Stegostoma tigrinum: one gene and its partner. The protein of the gene in region 1 interacts with the protein of each later gene in a biochemical or structural test. Links are inferred from orthologs where the notes say so. Each region holds a gene or a part of one and is shown on either strand. Other genes may lie near its edges.

Region 1 (7,198 bases):
TTCTGCCTGCTGTCCAATCCCTTGATTTCCGAGCAGATTTTTGTTTATCTCAGCCATAAGTACATTCAAAGATGGTGCAACCTCCAACCATTTGGGTCAAGATTCACAATACTTTGTGTAAAGAAATTTTGCATTCTCTCAGATCTAAATGGTTAGACTGTCATCCTGAAATTGTGCCCCTTGTTCTAGATTTCCCTGCTGGAGAAAAATATCTTTCAGAATATAGTTTGTCAAGCTCCTCCAGAATATTGAATGTTTCAATGAGATCAACTCTCATTGAACTTCAGAGAATATAAATCCACCTTAGCCTCTCATTATAGGATGATCCTCTCATCCCAGGGATCAATCTGGTGAATCTTTGCTGTACTGCCTCCATTATAAGTTATTTTAAATATGGAGATGAAAGTTCTCACATAATTTCACACACACTCTGCTTTATTATAGAAAGATTTCTTTATTCTATTACTCCACTCCTTCTGCATCATTTGCTGTCCTAATTGTGTGTTAATTTTTAATGTGTATTGTATGAGAATATGCAAGGCTCTACAAACATCAATGTTTCCAAGTTTACCTTTAAAATATATTCTGATTTTCTATTCTAATAAGCAAAGTGAATAACTTCACACTTTCCCATGTTACACTCTATCTGCCACCTTATTGCCCAATCAGTTCACATACCTTTATCTCTTTACAATTTCATTGTTCCTTCCTCACAGTTTGAATCTCAATTTTCCTAGTTGAAACATGTAGATTCACTGTTCTTTGTCTAAGTCATTAATATTGATTGTAAATAGCAAAGACTCCATCACTAATCTTTGGGGCACTCTTGAATCATAGTGTGCCAAATTGAAACAAACCCCATTTATTTCAAATCTCTAGGAACATAAGGGGCAAAGATAATTGAGAATTCAGCTATTTGGCCCATTCAGTCCGCTTCACCACTAGCCATGACTGATACGTTTCTCCACCCTATTCTCCTGCCTTCTCCCAATATCCTTCAATCCCCTTACCATATAGGAGCTATCTGATGAAGAGTCATCGTATGATACATTAACCCTGCTGTCTTCTCACAGGTGCTGTCAGACTTGCTGAGTTTTGAGATTCAAATTTCTGGCCTCTCTAGTACTTTGTTTTATCTCAGTAGTACATCCCACCTCTTGTATTCTAGGCGTCTCAAAATGAATGCTAACATTGCATTTGTCTTCCTAATTGCCAAGTGAGCCTGTATGTTAACTGTATGAGAATTGTGAACTAGGTCTCCTAAATTCCTCTGCTCTTTAGATTTCTGAAGCATTTCTTCATTTAGTATATAGTCTGTGCCTCCACTCTTCCTACCAAAATTAATAATCTTACATTTTCCCACATTGTATTCCATCTGCCATTTCTTTGCCCACACTCTTAGCCTTTGCAAGTTCTTCTACAGCATCCTGCCTCCTCAACATTACCTATCCCTCCACCTACCTTACTGTTATCTACAAACTTAGCAACATTATCTCAGTTCCTTCATCCAGATCGTCAATATATAATGGTAATAGTTGTGGCCCAAAGACAGATCCCTGCAGACCTCCACTAGTCACCAGTTGCCATCCTGAAAAAGACCCCTTCTTCCCACTCTCTGCCTTCTGCCAGTCAACCTCTCGTACCTTGACACTAACACATCTTATTTAGTAGCATTCTAGGTAGCACCTTGTCAAAGGCTTCTGAAAATCCAAATAGATCATGTCTACTGGCTCTCCTTTGTCTAACTTGCTCGCTACCTCCTCAAAAAATTCTAACAGAATTGTCAGGCATGATCTCTCTTCGAAAAGCCATGTTGAATCAGCCTGATTTTATCACTACTTCCAAATCTCCACAAATCTTGGCCTTAATAATGGACTCTAAAATCCTACCAATTACTGCATTAGGCTAACAAGGCTAGAATTTCCCATTTTCTGCACCTTCTTTCCTTCATGAGGGCCATTTCATTTGCCATTTTCCAGTCTCCTGGGACCTTTCTTGACTCCAGTAATTCCTGAAAGATCACCAACAATGCCTCCACAATTTCCTCAGCTACCTCCTTCAGAGCTCTGGGGTGCAGTCATAGAATCCCTACAGTGTGGAAGCAGGCCATTCAGCCCAATGAGCCCACACTGACCCTCCAAAGAGCATCCACACCCAACTCTCTACATTATCCCTCTAAGTGTACACTTTGCATGGCCAATCCACCCAACTTCCATATCCCTGGACACTATGAGCAATTTAGCATGGCCAAATCACCTAACCGGGACATCTTTGTACTGTGGCAAGAAATTGGAACACCCAGTGGAAATGTGCAAACACCACACAGACCTATAGTAGAATCAAACCCAGGTCCCTGTCAATGAGATAGCAGCTCTAACCACTGACCAAGCGTGCTGCCCCCAGTCCATTTGGTCCAGGCAGTTAAACTATCTTCAGACCTTTCAGTCACCTAGTTCACTACTCTCCTGCATGGAAGGAAATCTGGTCTGGTCTAATTATAACACTAGACCCGCAGCAAAGCGGTTTACTCCTATCTGGTCTCTGGGCAGCTCAGCAGTAAAGCCATTGATATCCACATCCTGTGAAAAAAAGTACAAAGTACAAAGAAACAAAACACAATACTCTGGGATAATGGGGACTGCAGATGCTGAAGAATCCAAGATAACAAAGTGTGGAGCTGGATGAACACAGCAGGCCAAGCAGCATCTCAGGAGCGCAAAAGCTGACGTTTCAGGCCTAGATCCTTGATCATCATCTCTGATGAAGGGTCTAGGCCCAAAACGTCAGGTTTTGTGCTCCTGAGATGCTGCTTGGCCTGCTGTGTTCATCCAGCTTCACACAATACTCTGGGTGTGGTCTCACCAGTGTTTAATACATTTGAAGCAAGAATTTTTTACTGTCTGCTTCCTGTTAGCTATCTCTTGATCTGCTGGACCTAGGGAATTTTGAAAAATCATAATCAGCATTTCGGCTGTACTTGCAACTATCTCTATTAGAACAGGAGAACATAGTCATTGATTGGGTCCTGCGGACTTGTTGGGGTTTTATTCCCTTGAGTTTGTCCGGCACGTTTTTTTACGCTGCAAGTATTAATTACCTTAATTTCACCAATCTTATTAGCCCCAAAGTTATCCATTTTTTTCCTGGTTTACAACTTGTATGGTCTGCGGAGAAGACAGATACACAATACTTGTCTCTTCCACTTACTCACTGTTTATGATCGTTTCTTCTGTCTTTAATAAGTATTCAATATGATAGTTTGTGTCACGACATCGGATATAACTGCACAGTAGACAATGTGCTGAGAATTTGTACTTGTTTCATCGCCTTTTCAGCTTTTTTTGTGTTCCATTTTACAAAGCTTTGTGGTAAACAAGGTTAGTTTATTATATACCTATTGCTGCGAGCCAAGAAGTTAAAAATATAAAGCTATTAGTTAAAATGCAGCTACACGAAGTGACATCTGCTTTGAAGAAAAAAAAACAGCTATGCTTAATCGTCTCGTCGGACAATCCTGTGCCAGATTAGTCAGCTCTCTTCTCTGTCTGCACAGGATCTTTACAACTGACCTGAAAATTGTGCATTTTTCGAGACCACTCTCACATATCGCCCGTTCGCGTGAAGGGATACACTGAATATTTTTTCAATGCCAATTTTGGAGGAGTTTGTTTCGAAACAAACCAAGTTAATAAAAGTTGTCTCAAACAAAAGAACTGCGGATGCTATAAATCAGGAACAAAAGCAAAGTTGCTGGAAAAGCTCAGCAGGTCTGGCAGCATCTGCGAAGGAGAAAACAGAATGAACGTTTCGGGTCCAGTGACCCTTCCTCAGAATTGAGGAACACAGAGGTTCTGAGGAAGGGTCACCGGACCCGAAATGTTAACTCTGTTTTCTCCTTCACAAAAGTTGTCTCAAACTAGTGCAGCGACGAGTTGCGGGCGTAAACCACAGAAAAAAAAAAGGCTTTCAACGTTGCCTGAGAGATCCTTTCCCCTTTCTGACTGCGTTGGCGAGTTGGGCGCTCTTTCTAGCTTAGAAAGGGAGTGATGCCAAGGGAGAGAGACTCTTCGATTGCGGCGGGACTGGCCTCCGAGGTGGAGGCGGGCGTTAGGACCCGGCTGGGGGCGGGGCTTCATTTACATGGGCGTGGGGAGGGGAGCTGCGGGAGGTGTGGCGCATGCGCTTAAGCCAGTCTGGAGCAGAGTGAGAGTGTTGCTGGAATTGAGCCGGAGTCTGGTCAGAAAGTGGGAAACGTACAGAGAAGAGTTGGATTAAAACAACCGCTGTCGCCCCCCCACCCCATCCCATCCACCCAGCACTGGGAGGAAGTGCAGTGCACCCTCAAATTGGATTACTTCCAGGCACTGGGGCTTCTTCCTTTCTGAACCTTTCGTTGTTTCCCTTTTGTTTGGGGAAATCCAGGGGACACAGATGTTTGTGGAAAGCTGAGGCGATGGTTTTTGCAGCAGGAACTCGGGAGCTTGCCTCGCAGAAGCCGCTGCTGCCTCCGCCACAGCCCGGGACGGTGCTGCTGCTTCTGCTCCAAGTTTCTGTGTGAGTAAGGGGACCGAGATTCTTATGATCCGCTTCATCACCTGTTTGTGCCCTGTGTCCTAAGGCAGTTCTGCTGGCTCTCTCCCGCTCCAAATCTAAACCAAATAAACACCATGTCGAAAGTGATTCAGAAGAAAAACCACTGGACCACCAAACTGCACGAAAGTGTGGTCTCTAAGAACAGGCAAGGGGAGCTGCCTTTTGTCATCTCAGGTGGGGCTGAGAGTGGAGAGTTTTCCTACTTGCGGGAGGCGAACCAGGATCAGATCGTTTACACCTCCGGCGAGCTGAGGGAAGGCGAGTTGCTGCTGGAAGTGGATGGAGTCCATGTGTCCGGGCTGCCCCTCTATGATGTCCGCGCCCTGGTCAGGAGCTGCAAGGGGCCGATCCGCCTGAAAACTGTCAAACAAGGTATGACCCTAGGCCAGTGCACCTCGCTACATACCACCAGATACGGTGGCGTGCACTGGCGGCTGCGCTAGCTTTACACACACGCACACAAACACACATACACGCACCCACTTGAGTCGCTATCGTCTCAAACACAGGGATCAGGTGGTCAGTGGTCGATTTTTTTTTGTTGCTTACCTGATTACTGTACTGTGCCGATCACAGTTGCAAAACCCCACCCTGAGACATGAACCAAAAATTCCACCAGTTGCTTGACAATGATCAACTGGATCTTGATGGTGTTTGTGTAGAGGTAGAATTCATTGGTCTACTGGGATCATATGTAGCGTTCTAAGTTTATATAGCACTTGGAAGATCCCTAGGTTTGTTCAAGTGGACTAAAGAAATGCTGAAGGCCACTGCTAGCTAGTCTCCTCTTGCCACTGCTGTAATCCAGGAGAGTAGCAACTTCAAATCTGCTTATAAATAAATACCAGCTTGAATCATAAGTTTACACTAATTTACTGATGTGACCTATTAGTTTTATAACAGGGTCCTTTTCAATACTTATTTCAGTACAAAATGTTTACTTCCACTTTGTCATTTTCAAATCTTTTAAATAACAAAGACTTGCCCAGAATAAGTTCAACAGCCTGACGAACTTTGCTGGTTGAAACAAAGGTTGACATTCATGTATCTTTCATGACTTCCAAAGTACGTTTGAAATGCAGTCACTCTTGTAACACAGGAGACACTAATTTGAACACAGCAAACTCCCATAAATAGCAACCAGTAATGACCACGTATTCTGTTTTTGTGATGTTGATTAGGATAAATTTTGACCTGGACATAGATAACTGCCCAGCTCTTTTGTTAAAATTGTTCAGTGTGACCTTTCACATCCTCCTGCAAGCAAATCGGATCTTGTTTTCTTATCTTATCTAAGAGGCAGTCCTCCAGTGGAGTGTCATCTGCCTTTTATACTAGAATGGGACTTGTGGTTTTCTGACTGAGCAGCAAGTGAGTTACCAATTCAGCTGTGAGGCTTCTTTACATCTTAGTACTCTGTATAAGCCTTGGTCACGGGTCTCCTGCAAAAATGTAAATTTTCTTCATTGACCTGAATGGGAATGTTTTTAAAGTTTTAATAATTGCTAATTTTAGTAATAGCTTTATGCAAATAAATAAATTATAAGAAATGAGTACCATTTAGTAAGTTTTATTGGTGGTTAAATAGTATTCAAATTGAAATCAAGTATTTCCTGTGCCCTGCAAGAGAAGCGAAAGCTGGAAAATGTTGGTGATCTGTCTTTAATTTGGCTACAAGTGATAGCGCAATTAATTCTGACTCTGGGGTCTGTGTAGAAATGCATTATAACCCATGTGTACAAATTAATTGCTGTATGCAGCATATGCTTAAGAAGGAATGTGTTCACCAACCTGTAGAGGAACGGCCTGCATGTCCCCATTTTTGTAAACAAAAAACAAATTCATTCTCGTGTCTTGTGTAAAGAACAGGAAGACATGAGCTTGGCAATGGAATTGATTTGGAAAGCCAACCCTATTGACCTTAAGGCTATAAAGACAATAAGGTCTGGTGGGTTCAACAGGTTGGGGATGGTGGGGAAGAGAGAGGATTTTGAAATTTTACTATCTAAAGGTACGAGCAGAGTTCAGTTTCAAGGCTGTAGTACATTACAAAGATTCTGATGACAAACTGTAAAAGCAAAACTTTTGCATTTTGTCGTCTGACTGTCTGTTGGTTGAATGTGTCTTGGCACATAAAGTTTGTTCTCTATACTCTGCACAGAAAAAGAAATCTTATTCATAAATTGGAAACAAAACTTTATAGTACAATTAGAGTTTGTAGTTGTCCATTTTAATCATTTTTTTCCCAGTAGCATTGTAGTAATTACAGAGCTCAGACATAATGTACTTGACATGTTGTTGTTATTCAGTGAAACCTTGCTTTTGTTAAACAAAAGCAACAGTCTTACCACCCCCCTCCTTTTTTTGCTGAATACAACCAGCATGATTATGTTTTTACAGAGATGGTGAATTTAATTGATCATATTGCATGAATAAATGGCAATGCACCAAAACAAGTGGTTTTAGGACCGATTTGAATTACGTTGGTTATATTTAGACCTTTAAAGATGATGTTACCAGTAATGGTACATTCTCACATTTTGTCATCTGAATAAATATGGGTCACTTGTCTAAGGTTCAAAGCACATTCTAAGAAACAGATTTC
Region 2 (7,490 bases), on another chromosome or scaffold:
TTGGTATCTTTACAGCCAGAAACATATACTTGCCATGGAGACAATGTAACAAAGATTCAGCAAACTATTTCCTGGGATAGAAGGATTGTCCTGTGAAGCAAGATTGAATGGACTAAACATTTATTTTCTGGACTTAAGAATGGAGGTGGTGATCTCAATTAAACAAAATTCTTACAGGAGTTGACAGTATAGTTTGAGTAGAATGTTTCCACTGATGGACAAATCTATAACTTGGAGGGACAGCTCCAGAATAAGAGCTAGAGCAGAGAAGATTGAGAAGAAGAATTTCCTCATGCAGAATGTACTGACTCTTCATAATTCTGTCCTTGAGGACTATGGAGACTCAAATCATTGAATATATTCAAGACAGATGTTAATTTAAGTGTTATAAAAATAGTGCAGGGAAGTGGCATTGAATAGAAGATCAGCTGTGAGGTCACTAAATGGTGTAGCAGGCTGAAGTGGCCGACTCACTTATTTTAATTTATGGAAACTAACATTCTGTTCTCCAAACAGAGTTCACAGCAAAAGAATGGGTACATGCTCTCTCCCTGATTGAGTTAGTTAATAATGTATTAATGACTCGGAGGGAGGGAAGTGAAGATACTGAACCAAATTTACAGATAGACAACACTAAAAATAGATATAAAGGCAGGTTGTGAGAAGCATACAAATAGTTCACAGAGACAGGCTGATAGGTTAAGTGGGCAAAAAGTTAGCAAATAGACTGTAGTGTGGAAAAATCTAAAGTTGTTCTTTTTGGAAGGAAAACTAAAACAAAATTGGACAAAAAATTGCAGAAAGGTGCAACACAAAGGAATCGGGGATACTTGTGCATGGAACAGAGAAAGCTAACACAGATGCAGCAATTAATCAGGAATGCTAATTGAATATTGATCCCTATTTCAAGGTGTTGGAATAGATGAGTCAGAAATCTTACTGCAATTGTACAAGGTATAGTGAGACCACAACTCAAGTGCTGTGTGCAGTTTTGGTCCCCTCAATTGAGGGAAGATATTACTTCATGGAAGGCAATTCAGACAAGGTTCACTAGAAAGATCCCTGCTTTGGAGGGACTAAGATCATAAGACAGCAGAAATTGGGCCATTTAGCCTATCATGTCTGCTCTGCTATTCAATCAGGTTTCACAACCCCATTCTCCTGCTTCCCCCCCCCCCCCCCAAAAAAATTACACATTCTTGATGCTAAGGGTTATCTGTCTTAAATGTACTCAATTGTCTGATGAGCAAAGGCTAAAGAGGTTAGGACTCACTGGAGTTTAGAAGAACAAGCAGTGGTGATCTCGTCGAGACATACAGGATTCTTCAGAAGCCTGACAGGGTAAGTGCTGAGGGGGATGTGGAGCCTCATGAGAGTCTAGGGCCAGAGGCACAGACTCAGAATAAGAGGGGCACCAATTTACAACTGAGATGAGGAAGAATTTCCTCTCAGATGTTTGAGTGTCTTTGGAATTCTTTGCCAAAAGAGAGCTCTGGGACCAGTGTCCTTGTGTACATTTTAAGGCTGAGGTAGATAGGTACTTGATCAGTAGAAGAATCAAGGACTATGGAGAGAGGGCAGAGCAGGAAAGTGGATGTGAGGAATGTCAGATCAGCCATGATCTTGTTGAATGGTGCAGCAGTCTTGAGGGGCTAAATGGTCTACTCCTGTTCCTATTTCTTATGGATTTACGAACTGATCTCAACTCTTTCCTGCCATTTTCTCAATGCTGGATTCCCTTATTGATGAAAAATCTCTCTCAGCCTTGAATAGACTTTACCCAGAATGCTGCAGTGACTGGTTAAGAATTCCTCAAATGAAATTCCTCATCTGTCTTTAACAGGCAATCCTTCACTTGGAGATTAAGCCCTCTGATACTAGTCTTTTCCACAAGGGAAGCATCTTCCTGCATCTACCCCAATAAGCCTCCAAAAAAAATCTCATCTGTTTCAATATTCTCATTCTACTAAATACCAATAAATTCAAGCCCAAACTACTCAACCTCTCTGCATAAGAAAATCCCTCCATAAACTAACCTAATGAATCTTTTCTGGTCTGCCTCAAATGTCATTATATCTTTGCTTAAATCATGGGCCCAAAGATGTTCACAGTATTCTACTTGTGGTCTGACTTGTATCTTTCATAGATGAATCAAAACCTCTTAAATAAACCTATTCCCTTTGAAGTAAAGGCTAATTATGCATTTGAAATTCCTGCTACCCACTGAATTTGAATGCTAGCTTTTTAGTAGTGAGGATCCCAAATCCTTGAGCAGCAGTTTCCTGCAATCTTGCCATTTTAGATAATATTCAGCTATTCTAATCTCCCCACTAAAGTGCATAACCTTACAGATGGAATATAATGTGAAAAAATAAGAATTTTTCCCCCCCACTGTCTAAATCTCTCCACACACAGTACATCATCCTTGTATTTTCTGAAAACTGATATTCCATTCACTTCCTTTCCCCAAGCCAGTGTTGTTGTAAATTGTGGCCCCAGCACTCATTCTTGTGGCATCCCATTAGTTACAGGTTGCAATCTTGAAAAATGATGGCTTTATCCTAACTCTATTCAATTAGCTAGCCAATCCTTTATCCATGCTAATAGAATTATCCCTTGCACCACTAGCTCTTAGGCACCATCTTATTGAAAGCCATTTAGAAATCAAAATATATAACACTTCCTCTAACTTATTAGAGCAAAGAATTCTAACAAATTTGTCAGGCATGATTTCCTGTTTATGAAGCTAACTCTGCTTAATTGTATTATGCATTTCTAAGTGGTCTTGCTTTAGATCCTTAATGATAGATTCAGATTGCTTCCCAATTACATTAAGCTAAGGCTTATTATTTGTATTCATCTCCTTTTTTTGGGTAAGGGTGTTGGATTGGCAGTTCTTCAGTCCTCTGAAAACTTTCCAGAATTCTTGGAAGACTACTACCATTCCAGCTACTTCCTTTAATACTCTAGGATTCAACTCAGATCCAAAAGCCCAATTAGTTCAAGTTACATTTCTTCCCTTTTTTACCCTCTTAGAATCTTCAACATGAAGACTGATTTAAAGTACAGTTGGTCCCCAATTTACAAACATCTGACATCATGATCACCTGTACATATGAATGCAATCCTATACATGGTTGTAATTTTAATGATCCAACATATGAACATTTTCTGTATTTACAAATACCTACTTTATATTATCCTGCATTATGTTCCAACATGCATAAAGATTAATTTGGAAGTGGATTCAAGAATGGAACCCATTGCAACCTGATTACCTCTTGGAATTTTTCAAGATTTTTGCCATTTCCTAGTTTCCCCTCACCTCATTATCTAAATGGCCTATGGCATGTTCACTTTGACCTCATGCTTCCTTTTGAAATATTTAAATAAGGTCTTACTCCTAATTTTTGTATTACTTGCTAGTTTGTGTTCACTTCTTCTTCCCCCCCCCCCCCCACTGTCCTTTGGTGGCTTTTAAAACTTGTCCAATTCTCTGGGCTACCATTAACTGTCACATTGTAGGTCCTCAGCTTGGTACTAACCTTGACTTCCTTGATTAAACATAGTCAGGTTTACTCCCATCATACAGATATACAGTCCAGAAACACATCAAGTCCAACTCGTCCATGCTGGCCAGATGGCCAATATAAATCTAGACCTATTTGCCAGCATCTGGTTCGTACCCCCTTAAGCGTTTCCTATTCATATACCCATCCAGATACCTTTTAAGTGTTGTAAACCTACCAGCCTCCACCACCTCCTCTGGCAGCTCATTCCACACAGGCACCACCGTCTGAGAGAGCGTGTTGCCCCTTAAGTCCTTTTTATATCTTTCCCCTCTCACCTTAAAACGTTTTTGAAGAAGGGTTCCAACGCGAAACGTTGACTTTTCCTGCTCCTCGGATGCTGTCTGACCTACTGTGCTTTTCCAGCTCTGCATTTTTGACCCCATCATATCTGCGTCCACCAACACCCCAGACCGCGTGTTCCAGACTCCTACCACTCAAAAATAACTTGCCCCTCACATCTCCTTTAAATTTCCTTCCCACACCTTAAATGTATAAAACATAATTGTAATACGTATAAAAAAAGTGAACTCGAACTGATCTACAGAAATATACAAAATAAGTGAACCTAACAATATCGTGTAGAACATGGTTACATATAAAATAATGCGAATTTAAGACGTTTTGCTACTTATGAAGTTTAGCTTCGGGGAAACATTTCGTTTGCACAGAGAATTTAATAGATTGATGTATCCTTGCCTTCACTGATGAGCGTATTCTCACCGCGATTGAGGCTTCACATTGGTTACGGAGGCGGAAGGCCCCGGCGACGAGGCGGGCGCTGATTGGCGCATTCCAGCGGCGGCAGTTTCAAACGCAAGGGGGCGGTTAGAGGCCCAAGTCCGGAGAGACCGGGGATCGGGGAGCGATCGTGGGGGAGGGGAGTGACAGGGGTATTTAGAAGAGACCCGAGGGATCAGTGAGGCCCAGGGCCGGTGACAGCAGTCCCACACCGGCACCATGAGTCAGGCACAGCCGCTAACGAAAGAGAACAGGCGGCCCCCCTTCAGGAGGAAATCCTCAGTGGCATCCAGCAGCCGCAGCTCCCCAGAGCCAGCGGACAGCAGCAGACGGTGAGTGAATGGAAGCCGGTGGTGGGGAGTCTGGAGTTGAGCTTGCACCCGTCCTTCACCAATTCCCTCTCCCTTTCAATGTTGTTCCGTTAACACTAATCTTCACATATAGTTATACCTTAATTGAATAACAAGCAGAAACAATTAAGTAAACTCGTCAGTTTGGTCATGCTTTTGCTTAATACATGTTTGAAAATTTCTCTGAACTCGTGTGCTTTGGTACTTAATAGCATGCAACAAAAGTCATAGAGCTGTACACGGTAGGCAAATAGGAAGCTGGAAGCAGGCAACGTTTCGGGTATTACCCTTGTCAGGACTAAGTAAAATCGCAAACCGAAAGGTAGCTTAAGAGATCATATTTAGTTTAGTTTTGATTTTAACAAGGTGATCTCTGACTGAAACAGAAACACATAGAATCACAGATTTGAACAGTATGAAAACAGATGCTTTGGTCTAACCTATGCTGACCAGATATCCCAAACATATCCAGTTCTATTTCCCTCTAAACCCTTCCTATTCATGTACCCAGCCAGGGCCTTTTCAATGTTGTAATTGTACCAGCATCCACCACTTCCTCTGGCAGCTCATTTCATACATGCACCACCCTCTGAATGAAGATGTTGCCTCTTCGATCCTTTTTAAATCTTTTCCCCTCTCTCCTTAAACCTATGTCCTCTAGCTTTCAACCCCCTCACCCTGAGAAAAGATCTTTACTATACCTCCCAAATCCCTGCCCCTCATGATTTTATAAACCCCTATAAGGTCACTCCCTCAGCCTCTGATGCTACAGGGAAAATAGCCCCCGTCTATTTAGCCTCTCGCTATAGCTCAAACCCTTCAGCCCTTGTAACATCCATGTAAAACTTTTCTTAACCCTTCCTAGTTTCACAATACCCTTCCTATTGTAGGGAGACCAGAATTGCATGCAGTATTATAATAGTGGCCTAATCAATGTCCTGTACAGGCACTACATGACCTCCCAACTCCAAAATTCAATGCACTGACTAATAAAGGTAAGCGTACTAAATGCCTTCTTCATTATCCTATCGACCTATGACTTCACTTTCAAGGAACTATGAACCTGTACTCCGAGGTTTCTTTGTTCAGCCAAAATCCCCAAGATCTTACCATTAAAGGTTTAAGTCCTGCCTTGCTTTGCCTTTCCGCATTGCAACACCTCACATTTACCTACATCTGCCACTCATTGACCCATTGGCCCATCTGGTCAAGATCCCGTTGTACTCTGAGGCGATCTTCTCCATTGTCAACTACACCTTCAATTTTGATGTCATCTGCAAATTTACTAACTATACTTCCTAAGCTCACATTCAAATGAAAAGCAGTGGAAAATCTAAAGCAAATTCTTGATATAAGCTTTACATTAACATAGCTCAATTATTTTTGATTTTACACTTTTATTATTTCAAAGTCTTCTACCTTTTGAATTTTTTATTTAGTTTCTTTTGATGTTTTTCAAGTTAATTGGACAACATTTATTTTTGGAAAGTGTTTTCTTCTTACTTGAGTATGTCACGACATGGGAGCTTAGCTATTTAAGTAAATGTTTCTCAGTCAGCTTTGCATCGAAGCTGAAGTTGCTTGTCTGCATGACACTATTGATTTTACTGACATTGATTTTTGTGTGGGGATTCGATTTAATTGTAATGCATATAGGATGTACTTTGATATTCTAGAATTGATGTTCTTGGAAACATTGGCATACGTCTTCCAAGTTATTCCTGATTCCATGTCAACATTTTCTGGATTGTTTGTACCACATTGCTATTGTCTATGCCAAAACTGAATTGTTAGTTACCCACTTTCCATGCTATCCATATACTCCCATAAAATTATCAATAGTGATTGTGAGTTCCCTGCTGTTACCACGTAAGCTGGAAAATCATGTCTATAATGATGGGACAGCCATCTGATTTCATCAGAAATAATTTGTATTTATATGGTGACTTTAATGTCAGGAAACAACCAAAAATACTTTGAAGCAGCATCATGAATAAAAATTTGACATCAAGCCACAGAAGGAGATATTAGGCCAGATAGAATCATAGAGCTGTACAGCACAGAAACTGACCCTTTGGTCCAACTTGTCTCTGCCAACCAGATATTCTAAATTAATCTAGCCCCATTTGCCAGTATTTTGCCCATTATTCCTTAAAACACTTCCTATTTATACACCCATCCAGATGTCTTTTAAATGTTATAATTGTACCATGCTCCAACGCCACATCCTCTGGCAGCTCATTTCAACACGTGCCATTCTCTGCATGAAACCATTGTCCCTTAGGCCCCCTCTCACCTTAAACCTATGTTCTCTAATTTTGGACTCCCCTACTCTGGAGCAAAGGGTACCCTTGGCTCTTCACCCTATTCATACCTCTCATGTTTTTATAAACCTCAATAAGGTCACCCCTCGGCCTCCAATGTTCCGGGGAAAATACCTGTAGCCTATTCAGCCTCTCCATATAGCTCAAGCCCTCCAACCCTGGTGACATCCTTGTAAAGCTTTTCTGAACCTTTTCAAATTTTACAACATCTTTCCTACAGCAGGGAGACCAGAATTGAATGCGGTATTCCGATTGTAGATGATCCATTATCCTGACCAGCTGCAACATGACCTTCCAACTCCTGAACTCAATGCAATAACGAATTGAATGCCGTATTACAAAGGTAGCCGAACCAATATCCTGACCAGCTGCAACATGACCTCCCAACTCCTACACTTAATGAACTGACCATAAAGGCAAGAGTACTAAACTATCCTGTCTATCTGTGACTCTAGCTTCAAGGAACTGAGTCTACACCCCGAGCTCTCATTGTTTGGCCACACCCC

Evidence for each region. The genes of interacting proteins can lie anywhere in the genome.
Region 2: the proteins of magi1b (region 1) and net1 form a complex in vitro, tested with the Homo sapiens proteins (3 studies listed by BioGRID and IntAct, with this or other methods). The link is inferred for Stegostoma tigrinum from reciprocal best matches to the Homo sapiens genes MAGI1 and NET1.

What each region holds. Positions count from the first base shown.
Region 1 is NC_081364.1:46,519,430-46,526,627, forward strand, and holds the start of magi1b (membrane-associated guanylate kinase, WW and PDZ domain-containing protein 1b), read left to right. Parts: upstream 1-4,197; 5' UTR 4,198-4,667; coding exon 4,668-4,965; intron 4,966-7,198. UniProt on the Homo sapiens protein: Plays a role in coupling actin fibers to cell junctions in endothelial cells, via its interaction with AMOTL2 and CDH5. May regulate acid-induced ASIC3 currents by modulating its expression at the cell surface.
Region 2 is NC_081378.1:11,120,959-11,128,448, forward strand, and holds the start of net1 (neuroepithelial cell-transforming gene 1 protein), read left to right. Parts: upstream 1-4,481; 5' UTR 4,482-4,529; coding exon 4,530-4,642; intron 4,643-7,490. UniProt on the Homo sapiens protein: Acts as a guanine nucleotide exchange factor (GEF) for RhoA GTPase. May be involved in activation of the SAPK/JNK pathway Stimulates genotoxic stress-induced RHOB activity in breast cancer cells leading to their cell death.